Schizosaccharomyces pombe: one gene and its partners. Each later gene encodes a partner of the first gene's protein in a complex. Each region holds a gene or a part of one and is shown in the gene's direction. Other genes may lie near its edges.

The links.
Region 2: mrpl33 (region 1) and mrpl32 share a complex: the UniProt entries of both Schizosaccharomyces pombe proteins name them as parts of the mitochondrial large ribosomal subunit.
Region 3: mrpl33 (region 1) and mrpl39 share a complex: the UniProt entries of both Schizosaccharomyces pombe proteins name them as parts of the mitochondrial large ribosomal subunit.

The regions. Positions count from the first base shown.
Region 1 is NC_003421.2:2,221,049-2,224,875, reverse strand, and holds mrpl33 (mitochondrial 54S ribosomal protein uL30m), read left to right. Parts: upstream 1-2,293; 5' UTR 2,294-2,304; coding exon 2,305-2,354; intron 2,355-2,409; coding exon 2,410-2,653; 3' UTR 2,654-2,672; downstream 2,673-3,827. Other genes in the region: tif6 (translation initiation factor-like ribosome biogenesis protein), read right to left, coding at 619-1,246, 1,562-1,633, 1,688-1,722; SPOM_SPCC1919.07 (uncharacterized protein), read right to left, coding at 2,673-3,293. UniProt on the Schizosaccharomyces pombe protein: Component of the mitochondrial ribosome (mitoribosome), a dedicated translation machinery responsible for the synthesis of mitochondrial genome-encoded proteins, including at least some of the essential transmembrane subunits of the mitochondrial respiratory chain.
Region 2 is NC_003423.3:3,905,533-3,909,231, forward strand, and holds mrpl32 (mitochondrial 54S ribosomal protein bL32m), read left to right. Parts: upstream 1-2,319; 5' UTR 2,320-2,605; coding exon 2,606-2,917; 3' UTR 2,918-3,199; downstream 3,200-3,699. Other genes in the region: PAK-like kinase Shk1, read left to right, coding at 1-1,526; SPOM_SPBC1604.12 (uncharacterized protein), read right to left, coding at 3,361-3,699. UniProt on the Schizosaccharomyces pombe protein: Component of the mitochondrial ribosome (mitoribosome), a dedicated translation machinery responsible for the synthesis of mitochondrial genome-encoded proteins, including at least some of the essential transmembrane subunits of the mitochondrial respiratory chain.
Region 3 is NC_003423.3:2,700,235-2,703,731, reverse strand, and holds mrpl39 (mitochondrial ribosomal protein subunit bL33m), read left to right. Parts: upstream 1-1,980; 5' UTR 1,981-2,482; coding exon 2,483-2,505; exon of another isoform or gene 2,506-2,556; coding exon 2,557-2,658; exon of another isoform or gene 2,659-2,689; intron 2,690-2,716; coding exon 2,717-2,759; 3' UTR 2,760-2,997; downstream 2,998-3,497. Other genes in the region: ATP-dependent RNA helicase Mak5, read left to right, coding at 3,373-3,497. UniProt on the Schizosaccharomyces pombe protein: Component of the mitochondrial ribosome (mitoribosome), a dedicated translation machinery responsible for the synthesis of mitochondrial genome-encoded proteins, including at least some of the essential transmembrane subunits of the mitochondrial respiratory chain.

The DNA.
Region 1 (3,827 bases):
ATTGTAGTCTATTCTACTTCCCCACTTTGTATAGTTACTTGGTAACTTAATTTATTCTTAAATATTTATTTCGCTTGCGGAGTACGCATTGGTTTCAGTCAAAAAATACCTACATCGAAATACTTTCCATAACTAGTTTGTCACCAAAGACTGAAAAGAAAGTATATTTATTAGATCATTTTTAATATAAAGGCTGCAAACTACTTAATAAAACACGTAAATTGAAGTACGAAGTCTCATGCAGCGTTAGCAAGAAGCTCTACTCTATAAGCGAGAATAGCTTAACAAATCCGAATGTGTTAAGAACAGACAAAAAGCAAAGCAATAAAAGCATTTTCAAAATCTATTTGACATAATAAAAATAAACACGATTACGGAAGTCCCTTAAGTGTTATAATGGTCTATAAAAAACTTGTATTGTAAATTTCTACAATAGGAAGCTTGGGTACCACAATGGATAGGACTATTAAACCGAAAGGCATATCAAAAATTTTATAACCAGATACATACGTATAACGTATCAACATTAAAACTTTAATAGGAAAATATCACGTAGGATGAATTATCCAAACTCATAAATCCTGATCAATAATTTTTTAGTTAGCTCACACCGACTGCTTATGTATAAGACTCAACAAGAGTGTCTCTGTTGCTTATAATAGCAGAAGGTTGAGCATCTTGAAGTTTAAATATAGATTCACAGACAGCCAATTCAGTAGCCGTAGTATCAAGTCCAGCAAACGCACACCAGTCGTTCACAACTAGACCAGCACCGATAACATCGGAACCACGGTTGATGGTACCGGCAACAAGAGGAACTTGAAGAAGTGATGACAATTCATCCTGTTCCTGAATGCTAGTACGAGGGTGAACCAAAGCACCTTGATTGCTCAATGCACAATACGAACCGGTTAAAACATTGCCTGCAACGGTTTGACGGAAAACTTCAACATCTAAGACATCAGCAATAATTTCCTCGGTTTCACGCTCAATATCAGGATGAACAAGGGCCACATAGTCGTTGCAAGCCACAATGTTTCCTAGAGCTGAAAGTCGTTCATCAACACGTTGGATTTTGACAGGATCTGGAAGAGAATTGCGGAGGTGCTGTAGTTCATTATCGGTGGTAGAAGAGGGAACTAACAGACCTTTTCTATTACCACATGTCAAACGACCAATGATTCTGGTTCCTCCAATTGTGGTATGAACAACGGGTACAACATCACCTAACTCTGCCTCGAACACGCTGTTATAAAAGTTAGTGAAAAGTTGATAAATGTAAAAAATGCCAAAAAAAATAATTTGTCGAGCTGCATCGAGTCAAGGAATAATAAAGGTAATGAACAGCAAACCGCCAGAGTTTAAGTAGTGGTTTGCATTTATGTAGCAAAGTCTCTTTTACTCAATTAAAGAGTAGTTAGGCTACATCATTCACATATGTGCTATTTATTTTTCTCATAATACGTTCGACTGGTTAAGGATTTTAAGAACCTTTAAAAAAATTTTGAATCGTTTACATTTAGAACATTAAATTTTGGCATCAAATAAACGTTAAGCTTACCTGTAGAAGTTTTCAGAGCCTCCAAGCGCTACAAGTGCGTATGAGTTTGTGAGATTAGAAAAGACACCAATCCTATAATTTGTTAATATCATGCGTCTATTAAGCAAAAAAGCTGAGTAAACTTACTCATTAGAATTCTCGAATTGAGCACGAAGTGCCATTTTGGTAAAGAAAAAGTTTTATCCCAGCCAAATTTCACATCTTAAAAATAATAATCCATTGAACATCGTTAATATGATATTAGCATTGTGAAGCAGACACGTAATACCAATTAACATAATTTTTTGTGATATATCGGTAATACTGCATTACACTAATGATTTACTAGGTTGCGTATCACTATATGTTACATGTTGGAATATTAGTAAAGATCCGTTTATTGACAGTAAACAGATAAGTAGTCGTCTATACTCATAGACACCATGTGATTACAACTACTAGAAAGATGATAATTATAGATGTTACTGTAAATCGCTCCTCTCCATTTTTTAACCATATCGGTGACTTACACTAATAGACTTCTTATAACAATAAATATAACATTGTAGTTAATATACTGCATTCCACTAAATGTGGATCGCAAAAAATTCATCGTAATTCAATGTATCGTTAAATAGATAGCAACGTAGTGAATAATAGTGAACAATAACGAGCTTGCGATATGAATTGTATTTTATCGGTTGAACTAAAAGAGTTTCAATATTTAGTGTTAAACGGACTCCACGAACTTCTAGTTTACCATAATGTCATTCTTTCGAGTTCGTTTAGAAAGGTCAGCCATCGGGCTCTCGAGGTACGTGTTTTGGAAACGAGAAAAACATGCTTGTAATTGCTAACCAATATTTTAGTAAGGTGCGCAGCGTTTTGCATTCTTTGAGGTTAACAAAAAGACACTCCGTAGTCTATTGCGATGTAAATCCAATCAATGCGGGAAGAATTTTTAAAGTAAAAGAACTCGTTAGTGTCAGTACTGTGAAACAAAAGTTAGCCGCTGGGCAAGAAAAGAAGTCTCTTGCTTCTAGTAGCGGATTTACAGTGATACATCGATACAATAACGGTTTAAAAGAATTGAATAACATGTTTGAAAGTTAAATTTTCATTCTAGTTATATTTATCGTAATAGTTCATCTAACCAACTTTGGTCTTTGTTTGGCTTTTCAGACATATAGTTCCTAGAGTCGTTTCTTGAAATATGCATGCTGGAATGATTAGAAGAAATGTAATTTTCCCCTTTATCTTCTGTAATGGAAGGCGGAGCAGACTGATCCATACTTTCAAGAAAAGAATCAATATCTTCTTCCGCTTCAGCATGGCTAATGTTTACCTTTGGCTTTTGTACATTATAACGCTTACGGAATTCTTGAATTGACTTTTCATGCTCAACGCTCTCCAACATGTCGGCTACTTCTTCACGTTGGATAGTCCGAACTTTGGACTTGGGTTTTTGGTTGCTAATTCCCAAACCAGTAAGGGGCCGTGCTTGTAGTTTTGAATACTCGAAATCTTCTTCTTCATCTTGAATTGTATCTCCATTCCCCACGGTCTTCAAACTTTCCAAACTTGGATATTCTTCCTCATTGTTATCTTCATCAAAGTATTCCCCTGCATTTTTAAATCTCCATTCGTTATTTCCCAAATTTTTTTTACGAGGTTTTACAGGTGCATCATGAATGTCATGCTTTTTTTTATACGCTAATGTCGCTTTTCTCTTCCATTTATCTTGTACTACCATATGGGACGTCGTGTCTGAAGAGGCAAGGAGGAACCTGTACCCTATAAGACAATAAGTTTTTTTACAATGTTGGTCAATTTTTTTCTTTTCTCGTAGTGGTTTATATTTTTAACGACTCGAGTATAATAAAATTTGAAGCAATAATAAAGAAGAATCCTTTTTTTTTTTTTTTAAGCCAAACTTGCTTAGCGCTTTTTAATAAAAATTCGCACTCGACTGAACACTAAAAAAAAACTTTTCAATGATTGTACATTACTTGAATGTATAATAGACAGGTTTCTGGGGAAGCTTCTTCAAGATAGTTTATCTACCAGAGTTCAGCAGACCTGGGTGATCGAAGGAACCTAGATCGTTTTTCGTAACCAAAAGTTTAGAATTTTTTTTATACAATTACTTCTCGTTAAATAATTCTTCCTAAAAAACCTACTATTCGATGGTAACATCAGTTGTTTCGGTTTTTTCATTTGCAGTATAAATTGTGATGTTAAAGGCTTACTTACAAATCATACTAGTTAAAATAGGAATTTTAAAAGT
Region 2 (3,699 bases), on another chromosome or scaffold:
TTGATCCGAAGCATGTCACTCACGTTGGTTTTAATTATGATACTGGGGAATTTACTGGAATGCCTACTGAATGGCAGGCACTACTAAAAGTCAGTGGCATTACAAAGTCGGAACAAGTACAACATCCACAGGCCGTTTTGGACGCTATGGCTTTTTATTCCCAATCCAAGAAATATCTTGAGGAGGGAGCAAAGCCACCCTTTCCCCGTGAAAGTACTGAGAAGCCTTTACTCTCCGTTTCAGCGTTGTCTAGTAGTTCTCATCTTCAACCCACCTCTGCTACAAGCTCATCTTCTCGTTTGTATCCTTCTCGACCTGCTCCCACGCCTCCTGCAAGTTCTTCATCGTCTCCTTTATTATCATCACAAACAGTTAAAACTACTACCTCTAATGCTTCTCGACAACCTTCTCCATTAGTTTCCAGCAAGTCAACCGATAATATAATCCGAAGTCATTCCCCTGTTTTGTTAACGCCTCAAACCTTAAGTACATCTGAAACGAAACATATCCGTCCGAATAACTCGACACCATATCAACGGAGAGCCGAGACTAGCACCAAACCGAAAGCTGTTGCGACTCCTCAAAAAGTGGAAGCACCAAGTGCCCCTCGACTTCAAAAGCGTGCACCTCGACAACAATCCAATGATTCTGCTGTATTGGCAAAGTTACAGTCTATATGCAATCCCAAAAATCCAACACTTTTATATCGAAATTTTGTTAAAATTGGTCAAGGTGCTTCTGGTGATGTGTATTCTGCTCGCCAAGTCGGCACTAATCTTTCTGTTGCCATCAAGAAAATGAACATTAATCAACAGCCAAAAAAGGAATTTATTGTCAATGAAATACTCGTGATGAAGTCACATCATCACAAAAACATTGTCAATTTTATTGACACTTTCTTCTATAAATCAGAGTTGTGGATGGTAATGGAATACATGCGCGGTGGCAGTCTTACTGAAGTGGTTACCAATAACACTCTTTCAGAAGGTCAGATAGCTGCAATATGTAAGGAAACGTTGGAAGGCTTACAGCATCTCCATGAAAATGGCATTGTTCACCGTGACATAAAATCAGACAATATCCTTCTCTCACTTCAAGGAGATATTAAACTTACCGATTTTGGGTTTTGTGCTCAGATCGACAGTAACATGACGAAACGAACGACGATGGTTGGTACTCCATATTGGATGGCTCCAGAAGTCGTTACTAGAAAGGAATATGGTTTCAAAGTTGATGTCTGGAGTCTTGGTATTATGGCTATAGAGATGGTAGAGGGAGAGCCCCCGTATTTAAACGAAAATCCTTTACGTGCTCTATATTTAATTGCTACTATTGGTACTCCAAAGATTAGTCGGCCAGAATTGTTAAGTTCTGTTTTCCATGATTTTCTTTCTAAATCTTTAACTGTTAATCCTAAGCAACGCCCTAGCTCCGGTGAGCTTTTAAGGCATCCGTTTCTTAAGCAAGCCGTTCCAGTTTCATCCCTTATCCCTTTGATAAAATCCATACATCATTCTGGTAAATAGGCTAACTTGTCAAAAAAGTTTTTGAGTAAACATCTGCTGTTAGAAGTTTCGGAATATCCTCCAACGTTTGCTTAAAAACTGTTTCTTCTCACATTGTTTATTTATCGTTAATATGCTTTTGCAGTTCGTTAGAATATATGTACCTGAGTTTATTTTTTTGCCTCCTCCACTAAAATCCATATCCGCAGGTTGGGCAGATTCAAACAGAGTACATTTTAACTACTTTTTTGCTTTACTTTAATTCCTTTTTCTAGTGCATACTTTACTTATCTGTTCCTTTTTTTTTGTTTTTTTCTTACTGCCAAGAATGATCTCAGTGACACTTGGATAATTTTTATAATAAATGAGACAATGCTTCTTTCTAAAAGTCTCAACTTTTTAATATTCGCAATGCATTATAAAAAAACTAAAAGGAAGACTAACTTATCAAAGTATTCAAAATGTAAGTACATGATTCTGAGATTGATCTTGAATCAGTCAAAATAGGTTTGAATCTTTTAAAGCGATGTTTCAATTTCAATTATGTGGAATCTCAAAGTGAAACGCCTGCTGGAATATTTCACAAAATTTTTGATCTACTAAAATTAGTACAAATACGTAGAAAACTTCAAATAATTAAATGGACTATGATTGTAGCGTAGTTCATGAGCTTAAGAAAATTGTCAACATTAAACTGCGAGACTTAATAAAGAGAGAGCGCACTTAGCATTTAAATGTCAAGCCAAAGCAATAGTGAATTTGAGGAGTCTCGTTATACATGGGTTATTACTACTCAACAGCAGACTATAGATTTAGGCAGCAGCCTACTTCTTAAGCATTGTCTCGAAACCAAAGTAACTGGTCTTTAAGTTTCCTTTTGACGACTTCCAATTATTTCAAACTCTTTTCTCGGAGATCGTAAATCTATCTGTGATTGGGTCTACTGGTTTTAGAAAACGGCTATATGCATCGTTTTATAACTATATAATTAAGATCAAGTTCTGCAGTAACTAAGTTCGCCTTACCTTGAGAAAACTTTTAAAATATTGTTCAGCATTACTGTACCCAACAATATTCTACTGTTCGCGCTTGGGTCGAAAATGGCTCTTTTAAGAGGAAATTCTTTGGCAATTAGCCAAAAAATGTTATCAGTTTTTCAAGCTAGCGCCCTTCCTCATATTTCTTTGAGGATATTTATTTCCCCCCCTTCAATAGCTAATATATGGAATTCCATTTTGCTTGCTGTTCCAAAGAAAAAAACTTCTTATACTAAGAAACGAAGTCGCTTACTGTCCGGAAAAGCATTAAAAGACAAAACAGTTAATCGTTGTCCTATTTGCGGGTCTTTTAAATTGGCACATCATTTATGTTCTCACTGTTTTAGAAATATTCGTCGAGAATTTAACGAATGAAGGGCATTAAGCATTTCTTCACTGATTTAGTGATGCTGCAAATCTTTATTTTAAGAAAAAAAATGGACTTAACATTAAATATAAGGTTGTTTCATGTAATAGTATTGCAGTTAGTGAATTGAATCTGCTCGCACTACTTAAATTTTTTCAGTATTACGATTAATGAACTACACCCTTTTTAAAAATACGCGTATAACAAAGAATTTTTTTACTTAATTTTATTTGTTGACTATGTACGGTTGAGTATAAATATCATATATTATGCAAAAGAATTTAGAGTGAAAAAATAACAAAAAAGCTGAATATATCTCTTAGCTTTCATCCTTTTTCAATACACGTTTATGTTGTAAGCGTGTAAATAATATTAAATGCATCGAAAACACAAAAGAGACTATAATCTCATGTAAAGTATACATAAACGATAACAATAAGAAAAAACCAAGCTAGTTTTTCGCCCTCCATAAACCGGAATCAATTCGTTCTCGGCGTTGAGGATCATAACGATTAGCGTTCATTGAATTACGAAAAGAGCGACGAGCCACTTGAATTGTCTTGCTACCTGGAAGACAAACAGTTACACGCAGTGGATGAGTAGGATGAATTCGAAGGGGTTGTTTGGAAGATGAGCGGTATATAGGAACCTTCTCCTCTAATGGTTTCATTTCCTCTAATTTTAATGATTTAGTAGGAAGAAACCGCTCCGGGTTCACTTTAGGCAAATGTAAATTCAAAATAACATCGCCCTTCGATCGCTGAATTCGAACAGAATTTGCATGACTAAG
Region 3 (3,497 bases), on another chromosome or scaffold:
CAACTATCGTACACACCCTGACGCTTGTCCTTGGATTACGGGAATACTCAGCTCAAAAAATAACAAAATAATGCGACGGAAGGAGAGCACAGTGTGAGATCTGATAGCACAAACTGGTAAAAGTCGGTTTATCAATTTGACCTGTACTACCCATCGCATGATCTTAAATTACGCCTTTTCATGCACAAAAATGGAAAATCTTTCAAGAAAGGAAAATTTACTCTAACAGACGATATTGTCTCACTATCCCATGTTTGTATTATGTGCAGACTAATTAACTTAACGTTCTTTTTAAACTACGTTATACTTGCTTATAGGAGACAACGTGCTTAACTGAAATGTTAACAGTTGCATACTTAGACTTATCTTGGATAGTGAGTTTGGCCCCTTTACCCTATATGCCAAAAGATGACCCAGGGGGTTAATATTAAGGCCTAAAAGGTAGGAGGAAGCAAGAAATGGTAAAATGGCACGTGCCAAGCCAAACAAGAAGAGATGATAGACACGCAGCTAAAGAACATAGCAAGCTTAAAGAACAAATAACAAAGCATTTTGGTTGGGAAATTGATCAGTTGAAGAAAGTTATTAAAGTTAATGATTATTATAGATTTACTAGTAAATACATAAAAACCAAGGAAAAGATAAGAAAATAAAATAAAATATAAATAATAATTAACGATAATTATATGTATATATAAGAGGATAATAATTTTATATATACACAGCAAATCCATCCTATATTTAACATAGTATTCCTCTATTAAGTGCGAATATTCTTTTACTTAATTCAGCCTTTGCTTATTTAATGCGAGTTGTCTCAGCCCTTAGTACAATGTCAAATCCTCTTTAAAAGATAGTTATTAAACCTTTTGTTATTCTAATGACAACTGTAACATATCCTTGACTTGTTTACTATCCCTGCTGTAATTTCCAACTCAATTTTTATTCTACATATATAAAGCATCAGTTAAAGATATTTTCGTTGCTTCTCTCCATCATTTTCACAACCAGGAAAAATGTTTATTTTAAAATTTCCCATACTATTGACCATGTAGAACCGTAATAACAATCGTAAACATTGCACTTAATGAGCTTTAAATACTCTCTCAATTCTTTCATTCAGTCTCCATATCCGAGGGATGTAGCCTTCTCCAGTCTATTCTATATCCGTCTTTGGGTGCGGCTATACTTGCGTTGTATAGATTTTCTCCGTATGCATCGTGATATGTCTCAATTTCGCGGATGAGATACGGACTTGGGATTTCGGGCAGATCGTCATACAATGTCACTAGCTTCCGCAATTCATGCGATTTGTTCATTTGCATTCTTTATTTGGCTAACCCTTGTAAAATTGGGAAAACACATTTTATATTCTCTTTGGACCCATAAACACTTAAAGTGACTTGTAACTCATCCATCCTAGTCTTGGTACAGCAAATGAATTAGGTTTGCTTACAACTTGAGGATCGTCTTATACTTTCAGTATTGCCAATAATTTACAGTTACAATGATACTTAAAGCTTGCGTTTGTTTAGAGCCGAATATATATATATATATACACGAAAGGCTTTTTAGAACCACCTCGTCATAAATGTTTCTTTACTAGGCTCGCTAATTTCCATCTGTGTTTTTTTTTCACGCTAGCAAACTATGCTATTGCAATTAGTTCATTCTTAACGTCCTAATTCATCTAGTACATGTCATTTTAACTAAAAGAATTTTTCCTGAAAGAAAATTGGTTCTTTCATTTGAATATCATTCTTTCCAAAAAAAATGTAGAAATACAAATAAGATTATAAATTGGCAAAGACGCGATTGGACTTTAATTAAATACCCATCTACAGCCAATAATTAAAAAACAATAATAATTGTAATAAAAAAAAAGAATTTTTCAAGAGTTGTTCATCACTTCATATTTTTTCTTCGAATGTTAATAGAACAGCAACTTCTATTTATAAGATTACTTATAGTTTGTTAATTATTCCTCTCTGTTAAATTGGCAGACATCAGGAGAAGAGACGCAGCAGACTCAATTTGTTATACTTTCCTTATTAACATTTTTTTATTTTTTATTTTATTTTATTTTTATTCAAAAATTCTTTCTAATTTTTTTATTCTTACTGTTCGTCTTTCGTTCTTAAGTGCCGTCATGCATGTTTCTCAATTAGAATTTCAAATCTAAATGCTTTTTTTCAAAACAAGTAATTCATTGATGAGCCTTTTATCTTTACTAATAGTTCTATAGTCTACCTAAAACAAAAAAATAACCTATTGAAAAGCCTCGATTGTACACAACCAAATTTAATAAAAATTGGATTGCAAAAAGGCTTTCTCATTACTCAAAACAATATCTTTGAATTGCAAACTTTCAATTTTACATTTCTGACTGCAAGTTATCCATCAAGTTAAAAGAGCTCGCCCACAAACCCTGGTGTAACTACAAAACCTTTAACTTACCGCTTGCACTGTACGTATATCCAGAATGGCTAAAAAGAATAAAGCTCGGTAAGACATACATGCTTAATTTAATGCGCATTTTTAACATTTATTTTTCAGTTTGCTTGTAAAATTATTGTCCACCGCTGGCACTGGATTTTTCTACGTTCGTTCACGTCCAAAAGCTGCTCCTAAGCTTGCTTTTATAAAATATGATCCCAAGTAAGTTATTATGGATTTTCTAAAGCCTCATTTAAGAAGCTAATGAATGAACCCATAGAATTCACAAAAGAGTACTTTTCGAAGAATCCAAAATGAAATAAAAACTTCTTCCATTTCAATGATAGTCTGAAAATGAAATGCTAAATTATGACCGATCAATCTACCTTTTTTCTTCAAAAACTTTATGGATGTGCATTAATTATGTATTAGCTTCCCAACCTACATCTTATACGACATAATTCTAAACAGCTGCGTGAACATAAAGACCCTTATATTATTCTGTCATATCTATAATTCCTATTTTTATTATTATTATTTAAGAGAAGGACTGAGATGTCAAATTTTCAAAGTAATAAGAATGTTCCTTTCACCTGTACCAATTGCTAGCCGAATTAGAACTATAGTAGTAACATCGTTTGTGTTTACTACTCTTGTAAGCACTGTAGCTCAGATCATTCGATTCTAAAATTCTCAAGCAATATTTTTAATACAAAATGGTTGTACTATTTAGAAATTATGCAAAACATGGCAAAGCATTGAATTGCTAAAACCAATCGTCGTTTAATGTCTTCGTAACATTTAATTATTTGTTTTCTATTAGCTTATACGATGCAATTATTTTTATTCCCTCGTTCCAATTCTTAGTGTAAATTTTTGTCTACCTACATTTTCTATGTGGAGCAAACTACTACACTTTTCAACGCTTTGATCACGATGCCAAAGAAAGCTGCATTGGACGAGCTTAAATGGAAGGAAGTCAAGCTTCCTGACCACCTAGACGACTTCGATGGGTTTATGGGCTTGGAAGAGATTGAAGGTGTGGATATCAAATATCAGCC